Linked DNA regions of Drosophila melanogaster. Changing the gene in region 1 together with any one later gene gives a genetic interaction. Each region holds a gene or a part of one and is shown on either strand. Other genes may lie near its edges.

What was found.
Region 2: of toe (region 1) and fng, changing one suppresses a phenotype caused by changing the other (phenotypic suppression), as found in Drosophila melanogaster (one study listed by BioGRID).

What each region holds. Positions count from the first base shown.
Region 1 is NT_037436.4:12,428,398-12,438,535, forward strand, and holds the start of toe (twin of eyg), read right to left. Parts: upstream 4,272-10,138; 5' UTR 3,917-4,271; coding exon 3,679-3,916; intron 1-3,678.
Region 2 is NT_037436.4:20,943,789-20,953,926, reverse strand, and holds the start of fng (fringe), read left to right. Parts: upstream 1-4,414; 5' UTR 4,415-4,625; coding exon 4,626-4,757; intron 4,758-9,958; coding exon 9,959-10,138. UniProt on the Drosophila melanogaster protein: Glycosyltransferase involved in the elongation of O-linked ligands to activate Notch signaling. Possesses fucose-specific beta-1,3-N-acetylglucosaminyltransferase activity; extends the O-linked fucose on the Notch EGF repeats.

The DNA.
Region 1 (10,138 bases):
CTCTGGATCTCTGGATCTCAGTATCTCTGTATCGGAATCACAATCGAAATCGCAGAATTGCGGAATGGGATGGCAGATCGCTTGTCAGCGGACTGGCAGCAATTGGCCATTCCTCGGATGTAGAAGCTTTTATGTTCATTTTGACATTTTATCTGATCGCGAGAACTGCACACATTTTAACACCTCTTTTTTGGTGCGATCGAGCTCCGTGTGTGGCGACGACGGCATGCCATCGTTTTCCCAGTATGCACTTCGATTGGGGCATCTCCTCCAGCTTCGCCAGCTCCTGGGCTAATTAAACCCCATGCAGATGGGACTGGGAGCTGGGAGCTGGACCTGGACCAGCTTACTCCATTTAAAAGTGCCCGGCTGCAATTTGTTGCACTCGCATGTTGCGCCAATTGTTGTGGCCGCGGTTATGGCCATGCTTGATTTATGCCGCCGCAACAGCCGGCCAACTTGGATGTCAACAGGCGGTGAGCTTGCCCCCGGATTGCCCCAGTCCCGGATCCTGTTGCCTGTGTTGCAGTCACAGTCCAGATTCTATGGATCGACCGATGATTTACTACGCAATGCGACAGCTCCGACTGCCCTGCGATGCGCCTCAGTCAATTGCAAAAGCGGCTTAAAATCGCTGGAACCACGGCCCAAAACCAAAGCCACTCGCTCTTCTTCTACATACTGTACACTGACATTTTTAATGGGTGTTTATCCTTATATGGATTAATATGTTAGTGAGATGCTTTCCTAGTATAGCCTTATATTCAGATGAGCGCTTAATTCGAAATAGAAGATATTATATGTTTTAAATATACATAAATATATAATAACATATGTGGTCTTGATTTATATTAAATCTGTTATTATAGTAAATTAATCGAGAGATAATAATTTAAAGGCCAAACATTATTTATGTATTGGTTTATATACAATACATATGTAAATGCTAGCTATTGCTGATTTAAATATATGTACATATACCTGCCTTTAAATGAGTGTTAATAATAGATCCCTCAAACTCGTACTCTTTCTTTGGACTCAGTATGCATTTTTCTCAGTGCATTCGTTCGCACGTCACCGTGAGACTTATAACAAGAAGCGATGCCGATCGGAGTTGGACTAAAGCTCGAACTCGAACTGGGGATCGCAGCTCGCCACAAGTGATGATCGCCTCGGAATTCAATTGATAGTTTGATTTATTGCTACCGGTAACTTTTTGCCGCTTCGTCCCCAGCCCCCCTCCACCCCTCTCCATCACCATCCATCCAGCCAGCCAGCGCATATAAATTAAAGTTGCTCGCTTTTTATGTGGCTCCTCGACGCATCCCCATCCCGATCTCCTCTAACCACATACCCATCCCAATCCCAATCCCAATCCCCTTCAGTTAGTGCTCGCTGATCTTGTTTGTCGCGCGCAGCGCATTACTCGTCCTCTGGAAAGCGAAGCTTCTGGTTTTTACTGCCAGTGCGCATTACTGCGATCTTCGCACATTTTCCTAAGCTCCAAGAATTTTGCGGCGGGGCGACGTGCTCTTACATAAGTCAGTCTAATTTTATGCCATCCTTTATTGGATTTCATTGTACGGCTCTGGCTTATGGTCCATGGCTATTAATTGTGGCTAACCAGTATGGTGCAAAAATGCAAATTGAAATAAAACACCTTTATCTTTTCACAGATGCATAATTGCTTTTTAATTGTGTATCTAATTTTGTATGTTTATCTCAACGATGATAAAACGTAGCCTTGGACAAATCTTTTGGGACTATTAAATTGGATTGAAAAAATATGGGTGTGTTCCGTATCACTTAAAATTTCAAAATTCATAGGAATATTAAAAAAGTAATGATGTTGTACGGGAATTAATCATTGAGGAGAACTGATATGAGTTTAGTTTGGAGATCTTTACATTGTGAGCTATACCAAATAAAGTTATGATATCTATTTCTAAAGGTAGCACACTTTAGTAAGTACTAATATTACTCTTTTTGCATATTGTTAGCAATGCCCAAAATGTCCTGAAATGGTGACCCCGATTCCTTAGCCGGAAGAATCACCATCTGGGCTGACACACATATTCGCCAACGTAACGCAAGTGGAGAGTAACGCAAGGAGTTCGGACCATGTGCATACGAAATGGCCAAACCTAACCATACCAAAAACCGAACTACATACAAACCATACCGAGCCCCAGCGAAACTGAGGCACTCCTCGGAATCATTGTGCACACCTTTTATACGCTTGGCTTTCTAAGAATAATGTGAATACACGCACCACGTAACCTGAGAGCCCTAAGTATGGTTTCTGCCCTATGCTTAAACTTCAATGTATGCCATGTACCTTCCACCCCCCTTCGATTCTCCCCCCCCCCCTTCTCACCTCTTTTTGGTGTCTCTTTTTCAGTGAGTCTCTACCTCTCGGGGCTCTTTTTATAATTATTTATTTATTGTGCAACTTCCAACACCTTCCAGAGACAAGTCAAAGCTTTGCTGTCCGCTGCGTCCCGCTTTTTCCATCCGGGGAATATACTCGTACTATGTGTGTGTGTATCTTGCAGATACATTCGATGGCCGCCGACGTGAACTAATTTTATTTGACAACCCATACTTGTGCAAAACAAATTGCCACTGATGTGCGAAAGACCAAAACAGTTGCCACAGCTCAGTTGTGTCTTGCTGCGTGTTGCTGCTGCTGCTGCTGCGTTGCTGTTGTGAAATTTCCAAATCATTGCACTGCTCCAGCATGCATTTGACTAGTGCCACCAGTTTCTTGTGCCCGGTTGGCTTTTGTTTTAAACTGTTTCGAGCCCCCGATTCCCGATTCCATGTCAGTTCACGGAATTCGCCCGAATCTTGCGGCTCACATGGAGCGTGCAGCAATAGCAGTGCCACAAGGGGCAACATTAGTAGTAAAATCAACTAAGAAACCAACGAACTTAACTTAAACGTTAGTGGAGATAAAACATTTGTAGTTCTCGTGCAAAATAAAAAAAAAAAACAATCAAACAATCGGAAAATCAATGAATTTAAAGGCTATTTAAGTTACTTTTAAAGCTTTGGTGCTAAAAATAATAAGACAAACCTGTATTTAAAAATTACAAAAATAATTTGCTGTACGTGAACAAATTAAAAAAAAAAACAATTTAAATAAAATTTTTAGGATTGGGCATTGTAAGAATTTAATTGGATGATAATACATTTTATATGCTGCTGACTTTAATAAAAGTTTATATTTTAAATCCTTATTATCCTTATAATCCTTATACTTGTTAGAAATATAATACAATATATTATTATATAAATATAATATAATGTAATTAGTAAACGAAAGAATGCATAGAAAGTTTCTCAGATGAATTCTGAATTGTATTTGGTTTTGAAAACTGAAAACTGTCAGTTATGATTTTTCATACGTTTTCCCATTCAAAAAATATTACTAAATTTTTTTTAAATAAAACTAACTACTCCTTTTCTGGATGAGCACATTTTCTTTAGAAACTCATATATGATACTTTTACTGAAACTTAAGCCTGTTAAAATTCAAATTAAAGTCGATAAAGTCATTAAAAAGTTTTTTTGTTAAATTAGAAAGGAGCGTTTTGTTCCAATCGAACTCGCATCAACAATAAATTAAAATGTGCCAAACAAGGCTTGTAAAATATTATTTATTTTAGCACTCACCTGTGGTAGCAGCCGTGGGCGAAACGGGCGTGATTGCCGCCGGCTGACCGACGCCTCCCGCGGAACTGCCCAGCAGTTGGAGATGCGACGGCAACGGCACGGCGGCCATGGGCATGATGGCGCCGGGGGATTGAGAGCCGGCGGTGGCGGTAGCGGGAATTGCGGGTGCTGCTCCTGGCAGGGAGACTCTAATGGCTGCAGTTGTCCTTGTGGGTCCGGGTGAGGTGCTGGTTGCCATGCCACGCTTCCAAAAATCTTCAAGCGCCAGCAATGCAATTGATGTGTTTGGCTATTTTTTTTTTCTCAGTGAACAACAGGCGGCATTTTGTGGGCTTTCTGTGTTTCACCGACGGTTTTTTTGAAAGGGATTATTTGTGAAATTTTTGTTTTTTTTTTGGCACGCCACTCGAAAACGCGCACCGAAACCGCTCGCTTGTGTTGCTGTTGCAAGTTGCACGTTGCTGCTTCTGTTGCTGCTTCTGTTGCGGCTGATGTTGCTGTTGCGTCGTGTTGTTGCTGCTGCTGCTGCTGCTGCTGCTCAACGCTCGCTGACTCGACGCGCACCGCACTTCGCACTCAAACTCAACGCCCGCCGACTCGCTGAATGAGACTGAACTCGGAGCCACCGGCAGCGCAATATCTTACTTGGCCAAAACCTGGATCGGGTTGCTATAGCTGTTGTGTTGCTGCATTCTGGTTTGCCTGTGCTTGTGGTCGGTTTGCCACTGAGCATTCAGCCGTGTTTTTTTTTTCCGCCTCTGAGTGTGTGTGTGTGTGTGGGGGGGTGCGTTAGTGTGTGTGTGCTCGCTTTGAGCGTCGCCCCATTGAGCAGTTTGCTGAGGAAATGAGAGGCAAAATCGGAGGTGGAAAAAAATATGCCGAGAAAAGCGTAGCAGTTGTAAAAGTTCAATAATTAATTACTCGGGCATTCGATTTCAGTGCATTGTTTATCAAAAACTTTCTGGCCCGAACTGCGCTACCAGTTGCTTTCGGCCTTTTAATTGAGCGGCGTTTTTGTTTGGTAATACATACGTGGTGTTGGCCAGTTGGAAAAGTTGTTATATGGAAATGCCGACACCACGAATCGGCTGTCAATCATCGATCACCAAAGGAAGCACTGAAAGAAACACTCAGCTTGAGTGATTTTAGGGAAAGTAAATAAAACACAATAAGATATGATATTATATGATATGCTGCCTAATCCTTTAATACAATTGGAAAATTGTGTCTATATAAAGATGTAATATTAAGTTCTATAATAATGTGCCATTAATGTTATTACAATTTTTATATATATTTGTTTTCTGACTATTGTATTGATTAATTCATGAGATAAACATTCAAAGGGCTGTAGGCGGTAAACTATTTAATATATCATGTTTGCATTTAAATACGTTTATATGTGATGTGTGCAAACTATACATAACAAAAAACAGTTTTCTCTTTATCCCAAAATCCGATAATTTTAAATCGTTTAAATTTAATATGAAATGTTAAATTTTTTTGCGTGATTCCCATATCCTTGGCTCCCGTACACTGAACCCCTTCTTCTTCTGTTTCTTCCCCAAAATCGAGGATGAGCAAAAAGCGCATTACACGGGACATTGGCGGACATTAGTGACTTGGCCGGACGAGAAACCAATGAATCCACGTTGGACGCGACTCCACTCATTTTGGCCAACCACCGCGGTGGTTACTAGCCAAGTGGGGTGTGCAGTTTGGGTGGCAAGGAGGTGGTAAGCAGCGACGTAACCGATTAACTAGGTGGAGAAAAAGAGAGCGAGATAAGGCTGCGCAGCAAAGGAGACAGAGCGAGAAGGAAAGCGCAATATGCATTGCGATTGCAGTGGAGTGACAGGAGCGGCACGAGGTGAAGATGGGTCGGCTAATTGATTTATTTCGCCCACTGTTCCCCTCTCACTCCCACTTGTTCGCTGGTTGGCTGAGTTACAGAAATCAGGAGCCGTGTAATAATGGCCGCCAACTTTTAAGTCTGTGTATGTACATATGCATGCATGTGTATTTGGGCCCTTTAACGTGAAATGATTTTTGCACAGCCAGAGGTGTTGTTATTGCAACTCCCCACTGCAGCGGCACTTCTCTATCCCCCCTTTCTTTTCCAGTGGGTGTGACAGAGAGGCGGCGAACGGACAACCTCCCACACTGATAATGGAAAATAATCAATTTTAATGGCCTATAATTTCGCAGCGCAAAATAACAATGATTCTACGGAGATAGAGAGGCACAAGTTTTGCCATTCAAAATGCACAGCCATGCACGCAGCGCACATAACTTTTGCCAACGCAGGCGTACTAATTTATTTATGTTGATAGAAGACCAGGCAAAAGTTGCTTCCACTAAAAAATATACATATATATGTATATATGACAAGAAAGAAAAAAAACAGATTAAAAGAGAGGGAGATCGCGTTGAGCTCGACTCACCTTCACCTTACATAATTTGAGACAAACTCAAGTTAGCTGGCCAACTGAGTGAGAGCGAGTGAGAGGCGTGTCTGAAGAGCAGACGCGCAGCTGCGCACTAGCTATAGAGTTGTCTTTCTTGCTCCCTTGGTAACTGGAATACCTAGTTATGCCCAATGGGAGAACACTAAGAAAACTCAAAGAAAGGCAAAGTGCCAGTGATTGTCAGAAGGGGGGGCTGAAAGGGGGCCTAGTGTTGATCGGATGTTAAGCAGCGGAATTAACTCGCGCTGCCCAGCCCCTCCACTTCCCCCTTCTGATTGATTTCGGCCTGCATGATTGATTAGATTAATAACGCGGCTAATTAAACATTTATCACTGTATCTAACAAACCGCCCGAGGGGGCGCAAATTAACCCTCCAAGACAACACAAATTATGCCTTCTGCTACAGGCCAACTTCTTTGAATACAACCTTGTTAATTTATTAATTTAAATCAGATAATATTTGTAAATTTAATGCACAAATTATAAAAGTTAGTAAGTATCCCAATAACTTTTTAATAAATGTATAATAAATTTAGTGCATTTACCTTGTTTAACATAAATACTAATGTTAAGATAGGATTTTCATTCAACAACAGTAAAACCATTTAAATTTTGTTTTGAAGAAAAAAGTAATTCATTCAATCATATCTATTTAGCCTATCTTTAATATAATATCTCTAGTTTTTGGTAGTAAGAATCTCGACCACGAACAAATAAAAGAAAAGCATTGTCTCAAAAAAACCTTCAAAATTAGTTGAAAAATCATGTTTTATATTAAATTTATAGTTTATATAATAAATGGAAATTCGGTTTAAGGGCGTTCGACTGTGTGCGACTATGTGCCTGCTTCTAATTGCGTTTCGTGCAACTTTTTCGGGGATGGGCGCATTAATTATGGCCGCCTTGGCTAACGCCTGCCGGCCGCCATTATTTCGGCAGCAAAGTGGCCAAGTTCCAGCCAGATAGCCATCTAGTATCTACATCCCAGCCCAAAGTTACCCAAAACTAAGAGCCCAGCCCCGTGTGCCGTGCATATTTGTGGTAGCCACGCTTCCTGTTTTTGTTTGCTCGCCTGTCCGTTTGCCCGCCGTCCGTTTGTCCGTATGTCCGTTGTCCGGCTGAAAATATTCCAAACAATGTAGACAAGAAGTGCTCAGGCCGGGCGGAGTTTTTGTGGCCATGGTTAGCGACGCGGTGGTGTTTACCCACATGTAGGCATATGCATATGCTGATTTCCACCAAGGCGGGGGTCATAGTCTTTTTTCTTTTTTTGAGGGGGGTTTGTGGTGGAGGAGTGGGCCGTCAGCTTGGTGAACCGTGAAAAACCCTGGGGTAGAACACTCCTCCAACCCAAACAGAGAAAGAGAATTTCGTAATGTTAACAAACAAATAGAAAATAACTTTTAGGCACAGCTCTGTAGCTTCCTCATAGAGAAAAACCTTTCGCTGGAGGTTCTACACACAAAGAGAAAACTATTACAATCCATAAGATACGAAAATCTTTTATATATGCCTGAATTATTGAGCTATCTTTACTCGCTTGAAACTTAGCCTTTTAAATACCAACGGAATGCTATGAATAAACATCTTACCCTGATAATATCTCAATATAATAGAAGGTAACTTCGGAATAAGAAATCTTAGAATTTGTTTCTTCAGTAGTAAAACATTTTTTTTTCTCAGCGCAAGACCTTCTTTCTAGATACGAAATCCAGCGGAAATATGCTCAAGTTTCTGTTTTTGTTGGTCGGAAATGTTTAGCGCTTGCTCAGAATGATTAAAGTGTCGCTTTTTGTCTAGTTCCATTTGCTTTTTCCCATTTGCATACAAATGTTCCTCAAAATTTCGCTGAGTAATGCGAAAGCAACCAAATCTACTTCATTGTAGGTTAAATTGCAACGACTTCCTGATTCTTCTTAAAAGTTGGTGTAACCGCGAATTAGATTTTGGAATGTCATTAACTCTTATAAAAAAGGTATCTTTATATAATATACTATATGAATCTTAGATTAATATTCATTATTTTGTAACATTCTCTGATTTAGTTATGATGGCGTTATAATCCCTTAATCCATTTCTCAGCTCCGTCACTCAGATTTCGATACTAAAATCGGCGGGCGTCTGAGTCATGTGCTCCTCCTTCGATATCACGGCGAGCACGCACCACTCGGCCGGCGGAATGTAATGATTAACTCTTCGCAGTTGCTAAATTAAGTGAGTTTTTACTGCTCCCCACGAAATGGGATGGGAAGGGGGGAGGCACAAGGTGTTTGGGGAGTGTCGCCGAGCAGGGAATACTGACTGCATCATCGACTGGAGTCAACTTGCAGTTGGCCAGCTGAATACTGAGTGGGTTAAGGGGGGAGAGCGGAAGATCACATTGCGTGTCTGGGGCCAGAAATGATTTCCACATACCACAGCAGTTAAAGCCCTTAAGTCAGGGAGAAAATCCAATTAAATTCGGTAGCGAAAGAAATAAGTCTGAACTGTCGGCAAAATGATTCTACATACACGTATTTGCGTCAACATTGATTTCGCAGCAAACAGAAACATCCAAACAGGGATTCGCTCTGCTCGGACTCCTCGCCGGATTCGGGGGCCAGTGCGGACACTGAGCGGATCCAAGACAAAGACGCTCCAAGACGAATGTAGTTCATGTGCATGGCGATGGCGTGATTGAGGACGAACCCGAGGACAGCGGCACCAGCAGCAACTTCAGCAAAAACGGGAGCAGCGGCAACATCAGCAGCGGTAGCAATAGTACACATAGAAAAAATACTACACATTCATTTGGGCAATTAAAACATTAATGAGTTACGTAACTGTCATTTTATAAAAATTAGTTTACATTACATATCATTATAAAAAAATTTAGCTATATGCTCTATAGGGTTTTATTGCATAATATATACTCCAATCTTGCTTTCAGCTAAATCATAAAAAGTTACATTGCACTAGTATCCTTATAATTCCTTAATTTTTCACCGTGCAACATCAACATTAGCCACATGAGGCAGCCACTTGAGTTCTTCGGTTGCTGCAGTTTGGTGAGGCGTGATTTGGGCTTAGGCGTCTGCCCGAACTCGCATTCGATTTGGCTCTCTCAGTTTAAGTTTGAGTTGTTACAAAATCCTGGCCGCAGACCGCAAAACCGTCCAAAAGTTGCGTGCCCATAGGTCTTCTGTGTAATTGCGCAACAATTGTCAGGAGCTATAGCTGGCCTCCGCTGGCCCCGATTTCCGTCGATTCGCTCCTGAATGAGGCTCCTTAAGTAGCAGTTGGCGCTGTTTGTGCCCCCTTTCGGTTGCCTCTTTTAAGGGCAGAAACCGCAATCAAGACACGGACACGTCATGCAGCTCAAAAAACTACAGAAAATCTCGAGAGAGAGAGAGAAAAAAAGGCATGTATATGTATAATACTCCTCCAGCTAAGTCGATTGTGCCGACTACCTTCGTGTCTGCGTCAAACTTGCGGAAATCTGATTTTAAAATTATTAACAACATGCAATGGCTAAATAGTTTTGCATTCGATAACAAAAGCCGCTCCTCCAGAGCCAGTTTCGAAAAAAAAAACGTATCCAAACTGCATGGCCTGAAATGTTGGAAAAATGCTAAGAAATGGGGGAAAATATTCGTGTTTAGTGACCGCATCATATAATTCACGAATTCAAATGCAAACCATCGAATGGCTAGCGAACCGTTATAGGGTTAATTAAATGCAGATACAGTAGCTCTCGTTTCCACGACGGTTTCTCCACATTTCCAAGCTCCAAGCTCGGAGCTCCAAACTCCAAACGCCAAACTCCAAGTTCCAAGCTACAAGCTCCAATGCAGCTGCAATTAGAAGTTGCACAAAAAGCGCAATAGGAAAAACACAACACAAACGGGGGAAAACTGAAAATGAAAAACATGGAAAACAAAATGGCGATAACTACCGCAATTTGCATATAAATGGACGTAGAAACGTCTTTAGTCACCCGAATCTTGAGCAA
Region 2 (10,138 bases), 8.5 Mb from region 1:
TTACCACCATTCCAGCGCTGTGTCGGCAGAAATCGGTTAATTAAAGTTGTACAAAGTTCCAAGCCGATTTCATGCCGCGTTGAATCAACAAATTGTAAACTTTTCCGTACTATCCAACTAACTGGGGGCTGAAGGGTAAGGGAGCAGCACAAGATGGGGGAATCATTTGTACTTACTTAAGTGCTTGATCATGCTGATATCATCACCTGGCAACTTTCCTTTGTGCCCTGCGTACCCACAATGCAATTAGCGGGGTCTGCAGACGCCAGGTGGTCTCCAGTTTCTCGCATCTCCACTCTCATCGCCCGCAATCTTAACCATCGAAAACCATCAGGAATCGGTAAAGAAATAAATACAAGGAATATTACAATATGGGTGCAGCGAAATTGGAGGCGGGTTCGAGTCGAAATCGCTGTGCTCTTCGTTGCGATTCTTACTGTACTGAACATTATAACAATGCGCTCTTCTATGCGATTCTCAAAAGATTTACGTAAACTGTTTAGCAAAATGCATGTCAAAAAAAAAAGGATCTCAATTTGCTTTATGTTTTAAAGTTTCTCGTTATACACTTTCTTATCCAACTCCCTATCAAAACCATCAAACCCTTCATATAGGGCAACACTGACTCAAAAAATCGAGCCGCTGTGTTGACAGTTATTGATCGATGATATTGTAAACACAATGTCGAAATTAATTTTTTATTTTTCTCTCTGTTTTCGGGCTTTTCTCCGGTCTGATCTGTTACCTTCAATTGTACGAACTCATTGTGATGAATTGTAATTGACTTTTATTTTGACTTCAGCGGTTGGTCTTAATGAATCCGCTTAAGCTGCCTCCAGTGCCGTGGAGTTCCCCTTTTTCCTGTTCATTTTCCACGTTCAAAGGGGGGGGGGGGTGAGCTCAACGTTCCAATAAGTGACACTGACTAATTTGGAACCATTAATCTCGGAGCTGCTTAGCGTCAGTCACGCTGGTCGGGCAGCCATCAATACGCATCAAAATCGAATGCGAATAGTGCATGTTTACATGGATGGATGTGCAACACAACAGGAGACACACTTCTAGGTCAGCACGTATAGGTATATATTTTAAATATAACTATTATTTTTGTTACTGTTATTCATGCACATATTCTTAAAATACTACCAGCAGATAAGTGCTATTATTTTGACCGCAATTGTGGCCCAACAGTCTCCATGACGAATGTGTGACCGCTGCGTCTCGCTTGGGTGTCGGTCGTTTGGTGTTCCTACTTTGCCTCCATTTCTAAGCCCAGTGTGCAGTACTAAGAGCCCATTCCGATTTTCATAGAGCCCACCCATTCCCGTTCCCCATTTCCGCGGACATTGAGCCGAGTGCGGTCGTGGACTTGGACGTGGATTTGAATCTGGATGCCGACGTGGACAAGGCGTCCAATCAAGCCGCGTGTCTGGCAGTCAACTAGTCACTCACTTCGGCCACAGAGACTGCGTCGGTCCGTCAGTCAAATACTCGCTTTAATTTCGACCTCCTCGCGATTAGCGAAAGCACCAGGAGAAATATGTTTGGCGATTAAAACGTATGTTCCAAGTAACTAATATTTATAGTTATCATTTTTTATTAACAATTTTTATTTGGCACAATTTTTACGACATGACTTTTATCCTCATTCATCTATTCAATCTAAGTGCAGATTTCCGTTGAAAGGGAAATAATTGCTTTTAAAACAAAAAAGTTATTTAAATGCTGAGCTAATAAAATATTCAGGTTTATTTCGCGGTGTATTGCTGCATGAGTTGCTGGAGCTGCATGACTACCGGGCATAATTCCTGCACCACCGAACGAAATATGGTACCGAAATGAACACATTGCCAGGTTGGCGGTTCTGCGCACGCGCACAGTTGTTGGCCAGGCTTAAAGGCCCCTTCGTTGATGCCCTGAAAGCACTCTCGTTCCTACCCTGCTCCATCCCCATCACCATTCGCATCCTCCGCTCCATCTGCGGCTCGCTTTGGCCTGGCGACACTCGTAACCGCAGGGCGACGGCGCAGCCCGTTTTCGATTAACGATGACCGTGGTTGAGGACCAAGACGAGGACGCGGATGGAGGCAACTTGAGCGTGTGCCAGCCGAGCGAAATTTTATCTGGATGCCCAGCCGATCAGTTGAGAAGCTAGAGCTAGGCTACACTGAAAAAAAGTGATTTCAAATTATTTTTAAAGGTGAAACCATTTCAGAAAACATTTTTGTTGTGCTGCAAGCTGCATGCGAAGTTGTATGGTATTTTCAAAAGTGTTATTGAACAATTATTTTTTAATTTTTATGGAGATCTTAAAATGGTTTGGGATGTGTAAGTCCGAGTTGAGCACTGAGTCCGTGGCAACGCCTTCGGTTTACATTTTACAATCCTAACAAGGTTAGGCCGCCCGATAAACGGAGCTGCACTCGTTTGGTTATAAGGCTAGGTTGTGATCTGGGCTTTTCAGCTGAAGTTGCAGTTGAAGATGCAGTTGAAGTTGCAGCCGAAGTTGGAGGCTGGGGATCGGAACTTGGAACAGGCAGCTTGCAGCTGGAGGTGGCACATGCCTAACCGGCAACCAAGCTGCTATGCAAACACACACACACACACACACTTATACGGAGCGGAATGGTGGCCATGGCTACGAACTGTACATACGGAATTGCACATTAAAAATGAGCAATGGGAGTGGGCGGAATACGGAGGAATGGGAAGTGGGTTCCGAGGGTTTCGTGGCAAGCGGGCGGCTGATTCCAGCCGAGCGATGTCTTTTTCTGTGGCAGAACAAGGTTGGAATGGCCTGCGTCGCCGCTACCACCGTCTCTGCACCGGTAGAAAAATCATACTGACATAATAATAAACTAATAAAAATAATTAAAACACTGTGAAGGCCAATTGATTTTGCTTGCTCATTTGGGTACACACAATGGCCACTTAAGTTAAACAGTTTTAAAGCCCCTGGGTAATTGTCGATGGTTCTAAATTTATGCTAAGCTTTTGTATTTAAAGGGCTCAGTCTTAAATAATCTAAAACATTAAACTATTAAGGGTTGGATAGATTTTTCAGCTGACACAAGGCGATAAAAGTTTACATTTTTATGCTGTTCTCTTACCGAATTAAATACGAATTCACTATTTTCTTGCAGTGCTCCGCCGACTCTGCTTAATGCAATTCAGGCGAAAGGCGCACAAAGGGACAGCGAACAAGATGCCGAGTTGCTGATTGTGCGGGCAGCGCAGTCGACGCGGGCAGAGGTGTCCGCAAAAGCTTTTGTCGCCGCCACAAACATGGAATATGACAAGCTGGTGAGGAGTAGGATGGGATTCGGATTGGGATGGAATGGGATCGAGCTGAATGGGCTGAGAGCAGCAAGAGGAGGAGGAACGGGAAGATACTGCTGGATGGTGCCTGGCATGCAAAGCATTGTCAAGTGGGGAGCAGGCCAAGTGCTACACAAAAACCGAGCGACAAAGAAACGTCGCAGAACGCTGCCGACGCACGTGAGATGTGGATGCATTTGATGCACGGAGCGAGAAAGGGATGTAGAAATTAGTAGTTTGAAATTATTGTAAAAGAATTCTTCTGTTTGTATTTTTTAGTTAAATTAATTACTTATCCATAAATACACTGTCTAACTATTTCTAAGCCACTTAAAGGTATAATATAATCTGAAAAGACCTCTCTATTTGAAATAAAATTTCAATGGTAAATAGAGGAGCGGCTCTTGAATGTTTAAATAAAGTTTAATGCTTGCACTTTTTGTTCCAAGTGCATGATTTAAGAGTGTGTAGGCTTCCCTGTGTGGGCAGGGTAGGGAAGCCAGGCGAAAGAGCGATGGAGAGAGCGAGAGACAATGGCGACAATAAAAATGCGATCGCACAACATGCTCCACAGATAAGTTAACGCAAAGTGACAACGTACAACTTTTAATGGAATTGTCGTCGCCGACGGTGGGCGGTGGGGCGTGGCAGGGTAGTCAGGAGGGGAGTGGGGGTATATATGACATAGCCAAGAAGTCACCGCATTTGGAGCGCTGCCAAGTCAGTTGAACTATGTTTACTTTAAGGATACGGCCGCCACCTGGAAAAGGGACCTTCAAAGGCTGCCTTACACGATTCCGAATCCCCGATTCCGATCAGAAGTGGGCTGAGTGGGGGTCGACACACGAGCACATGAAAATTGCCTTCGGCAGCTACTGTGGCACAAGCTAAAGAGAGAGGATGAGAGCGAGCGCGATCGAAGAGAGAGCGCCAGCTGCTCCCATTGGAGCAGCTAACGTTTCCAATTGGACCAGCTCAAAGGGAATTCTCTCTCTCTCTTTCTCTCTCGCTACTCTCACCGCTTACTGGTCTTTCTGGTTTTTGTTTTGTTTACGATTTTCGCTGGAAGAAGAGAAGAGTAGATCGCGCTACCACAATCAGTTGCTTTTCAAGCTTGCCACAAGCAAGACGTCAGTGCGCGCGTGCTGCGATATCGAAATCGAAATAAACTTAAAAGATATCGTAATTTCAGAAATCGAGCAGAATTCATACGATCCAGGAAAAGAACCAGCTAATATTGGAATATAAAACCTACCCAGTGATCAAATCGGCGGTGCTTCAATGTGCGCGTAGTGGTCCGTAACCGTATGATGAGCCTGACTGTGCTCTCGCCACCGCAACGTTTTAAGCGAATCCTGCAAGCCATGATGTTAGCCGTCGCCGTCGTCTATATGACCCTACTGCTCTACCAGAGCGCCTACGGATATCCGGGCATCCAAGTGAGTTGCGAGTTCGAGTGGGCGACATAATCCAGCTTGCGTGGGTGTTGTTAGCGCTGCGAAACTGTCAAACGTGTGTGCTCCGCACTGATCTGCATAAGTTGCAAAGCTGCAAAGGCCAGGCAATTTGCATTATCCCCCTTTGATTCCGATCCCGATCGACGTCGACTCGTGCACTTTCATAAATCAACGCCGGCGACTTGAGTTTTGCAGCTGCGGCTTTGGCCGTTAAAAAAACCTTTTACGCCCTTGCCTTGCATATAAAACAGTTTCGGTGCTTGGCTTTTTGCGCTTTTATACCCTAATAGGGGGTATCATAATTGAACACAAATTTCGGCGAGGAAGCGTTTTAAAAGGATATACCCTACGATTGGTGATTGGATGGGGATCGGTATCACGGGGAATTCATTTGGAACTAAGGACTTGATTGCTTTAGAAATTGTGCAGAAGTTTATGTAGAGGTAGTGCCTAGCTTAGTGGTTTGTTTCAAAAATGGAAATATGATCCTGAATTTATTTGTTTTTTTTTTTTACAATTAAGCTTATATTTGATTGATTTAAGGACAAGAGAATGTAATTCTGTTAAAGTTGATGTTCAAAGATCGGCTCGCATTATCGAGACATTATTAAAATCCTAAAATCATACCATTAGGCACTTGGAATATATTTTTGAAAATCACCAATACTTTCCAATTCCCACAAGAGTATTCCCAGTTTCGATTACCGAAGATCCAGTCAACCGTTCCTGAATTTCTTGGTTTGCCGTCGGCAGAGCGTCGCCAAAGCTTTCAGTTGCCTGATTCCAGGGCCTGTCAGGGTTCTGAGCCCTGTCTGCTCTGCCCATTTATTATTGTTCTCTTCTTACTCTTGATTTTTGCATAAATTTTTGTGTAATAAAATATTGTGTGCTAATATTACCAAGGTGTGCGCTGCGAGGGGGGATCTCATGGAGGTGAATCTCAATGGACTCGTCCAGTGGAAAACCTTGTCAGTTGCATCACAGATAACAAATAGTTGAGGTCCGTGGGAATGGCCTTAGTTAGCCTCCTATTGCATTGCAAACACTTTTTGGCAGGGTTTTATGCGAACAGGCTATTTTTAGAACCCTTGAAATTCGAACTATGTGTCCACCTTCTAGGATTATCATATTTTAAAAACTTTAAATGAAACGACGCCATAAGAAAATAGTGCACATATTTTTAATCAGTTGCATATACAGATTCCTCAAAGTTTTCTTCCAACATTTCTTTATATAGTTCGATTTTTGTTAAATGAACCCTACTGCTGTAGTTATACCTTCAACTGTTACAGCTCCCTAACTAAGGCTTACAAATTTCATAATATTAGTGATTCGAGCCGCTGGCAATAGAGTTAAGAGCTCATAATTGAATCAGCTGCAGCATCCTCAAAAATATCCATGTAATCCCCTTGCCCTTCACCACCTTCCGGCTTCTCAATTTGCAACTCAATTGCCCAACTTCGAGGCTTCGAGGCGAGTTTGTGGAGGCTCCCCTGTAATGTTTTCGCATGCTGCTGCTAGTGTAATTAAAAACTTTATGTTGTTTTAATTCGGACAATGCTGTTGACGTTGTGGCTCTTCCAGTTGCTCTACTCTTTTTTTTATTTTTGTGTTCTGGGGCTAACCGGAAACTTGGCAGGAATTAGTGCTACACACACATCGCACTACTAAATACTGAGCCGGATAAAAAACTGTCGACAACTGCTGTACTGTTGTTTGTCTTTTCAATTGAAGTTCTGTTCCATCGGAGGTCTGTGACTTGTCCCAGTTTAAAAACTGCATGCCGCGTACAATTTGCTTAATTCTTTTCGTACTTCGTATATGAGTGTTCTCTTTTTGTTCCTAAATGTTGCGCAAAAAGTGCTGCTTGTTGACTTGACATGACTTGGCTTGGCTCGATTCTTCGAACTGTTGAACAGCTAAACAGTCGACTGGACACATACTCGCGCTAAACTGGGCTTGGCATTCGCCTGATAAAGCAATAATTTCGAAATCGGGCGGGGGCGGGGCGGGGGTATTGTCATGGGGGTCTCCATCAGCCCCACAACCCTGCCTATCCAAGATTCCCAGTATCTGATGTCTCATGTCCAGTTGCAGCTCACGTCGCCAGGTCGCCAGGTTGGCATGTCGCGTGTTGCTGACGCATAAATCATAAATGAAACGAAATGAATAATAATCGTCAAACGATTTGCTTGTTTATGAATTTCTTTAAAGTGGCGCGCCAAATGGCCACCAGTCGCTGATTGATTTGAGTAGTTTGTTGTGGCTACACTGTGATCAGCTTACCGATGACACATCGATATGGATAGTAGATTACTTACGTGCATTTATGAACGTGCACAATATAGATTTTTTCTGTAATGACATCTAATTCTTCTTCTAAGATATCCGAATTTATTTTCCAGTATGGACTTTCAAATATTTTTGACGAGTGCATGGTAAATACATAATAACATTAACAAACTCCTAAGCTGAGGAGCATGCAAATCAGCTTGAGGAAAGCAACAGCCACAAGAAGCCTTCGAGGCAGCCCGAGAGACAAAGACCACGATGATGATGATGATGATGATGTGATTCCTGTTTTTGGCCAGGCCAAAAGCAGGTGCTTGCTCTTCACTTCCCATGGCCAACTTAATGCAGCTGGTTGCAGCTACCTTTCCGTGGCCCCTCGATCCACAAAGCCCTCCTTCTGCCCGCCGCTCACGTAATCAGCCCGAAAAAGTTGACGACATTAAGCCGCGGAAGGCGCCTGATAAAAGGAGTAGTATCTGCAGCTGGGCAACCGAGTAAAAGATACCCATATCTGGGTATCTGGGTATCTTTTGGTGGTCGCTTAATTGAGCCTGGATGCTCGGATGCCTGGCTGCTGAGCTGCTGCTGTTGTTGTTGTTGTTGTTGTTGTGTGTATCTTATCTTAGATTCGTATCTTACGGATAATATTGTTAAACAGCATTTAATGAAGATTTTCCCGCTCGCCCAGCTGGAGGCGAACGAACGGTTCTGATTGCATTTTTTCGGGAATGCCTTTGATTTGTTCGATTTCGCTGATTTATGCTTTCCGTTATGGCGACCAGAGTTTAACTCAATTAATCTTCCCAAAGGTCGCCTGAGAGGGGTAGATTCCATTTGGCGCCCTTTCATATTATTCACTCGCACCTCTTCGCTCGATTCTTATGGTTTGCTCGTTATTAATTGACATGGAAATGTTTATAAACATATTAATCACGCGGCTAATGAAGCATTAGTCATTCGAGTGGGCGTAGTGGGGGGCAGCTGTTGCTATTGTGCGGACCGTGTTAAATTTGTTTTGGGATTTTATATCTATTGAATCACCTTTCACCCGGCACTTGTATGTTGTAGGCTGTACATTTGAAGAAAAAATTTGAGTTCTATTAGAAAATACGAAATAAGAATAATGGTGCAAGGGTAGTTTACCAAAAATGTATTCCATATAAAGTGCTTGCTTACATATTAGCCAATTAGCTTTTTTGATGTGTGTGGTTAAAGTGTATTCTTTTCTAAAAGTTTTTACTTCAATTTGGCTTATTGTAGTTGTCAAAATCCGCAGGCGGCCTGCATATATGGGCACACGTGTTTATGTATCTCCAGCTGAATCTGAATCAGAATCCGCAACTGTGAATATGTATCTGTATCGGTGCTTGTTCAGTTTCATCACGTTCGAGTAATTCGCAAATCCCACAAAAGTGTCACAAGGCATTGCTGTTTTCATAGTCCGTAGTCCGTGTACTTGATTTGCATACTTGTACGGTTAAGCCACTTGCATCATGTCGGGGATTGGAAAACTGGCGCACATTCTAATCCGATCCAAACCTTGAATTTACGGAACCCGCTTAATTGAAAGAGGCGTTCTCTGCGTTATATAACCAAGTGGCTTTCACTGTCTTGTCTTTAAGCCGAATCCCTCACTCAAGTCACGACTTTTTTGCTATCTTTCTTGAACAAATCTCCAGTGCGATTTCCCATACTCGCGATTTCTGCGCAGCCAAATTAATATTTCAGCAAATTTAATTGCTTCGGGTTTTGAGTTTCGGTTTCCCATCGGCGTCGAAGGCAGTTTACACCTGCCACCGTTATCGTCTCACTCCCGATTTCCTCATTAGGGAGCTGCCATTATATTGAACACCGTTTGGCTGTCGATCGTGCGGCAATAAAATTCTATGAGCCCAACTTGTGGATGGGCTATCAACGAGACAATATCGTGTGAAGCAATATAATCCAGCGGGTTCCAAAGAGAAATCTCTTCTTTTTTTTTGGCGGGACAAAGCTGGGAAGCCAGAGCTAACGCTTAGATTTATAGCGGAAGTTGCCCTACGATTTGCATAGAGTGTTAGAACTGGGCTGTCTTTCGCCCAAGGTATTTCCCATTCGAGCAGACGAACACTCGACCTTTATCTCCGGCTCAATCGAGGCGAAACTCCACGCCCCACCTGTCCCCATTTTCGTGGAGGGCCATTAAAACGAGCAATGGGGGAAAATCTCAAAGAAGAGCAATTGAAGAATCGCCGACAACAAAAGCAAATGAACCTGTTATCAGTGGAAATTAATCAAGCAGTTCACTCCGACTCAAAGCAATCTCAGTGGGTTTCTGGTCTTCCTCTAACCATCCCTATTCCGATCCCGATCCCAATCCCGATCCCCGGTTACAATCCCAATTCCAATACCAATCCCGATCCCAGTTTGTTTGCTCTTACTCAGCATTTATGGTGGTGGTGTTGCCGTTGTTTATTCTGCCTGCTGCCGCTCATTTGTTTGCCATTGTTGTTTGCCATTGAAGTTCGCCTTTGTTTGCCAGGTGAAAATGCCCGAAGTTGGATCTGGCGAGGAGTGGGAGTCCCCAGTCCCAATCCTAGTCCCCGTCCCAGTTCGAGTTCGAGTCGAGTGTCTCCGATAGAGCGGGGGCGTCTTCATCTTTTTATTGCCCTACGTGCGATTTACACAACAAATTTACATTAACCCCACGCCACTTGCTATATTTCTTCCGGCTGACACTGGGGAAAAAGACGATATTGTTCTTAGAACACAAGGGCTTTAGATTCTAGTCAATAGGAATAGGGTGACTCGAAATACTAGACTAGGTGAAAATTCATCTTATTATTTAAAAAATTTTAAATATATATATATGCATATAGTTTCCTTTTATAAAGTTATATCTCTCTCTGCAGGTGCCGCACAGCCAGGTGGATGCCCTTGCCAGCGAAGCCGTGACCACACATCGCGACCAGCTGCTCCAGGACTACGTGCAGTCCTCCACGCCCACCCAGCCGGGGGCTGGAGCTCCGGCCGCCTCCCCCACCACCGTCATAATCCGCAAGGATATACGCAGCTTCAATTTCAGCGACATC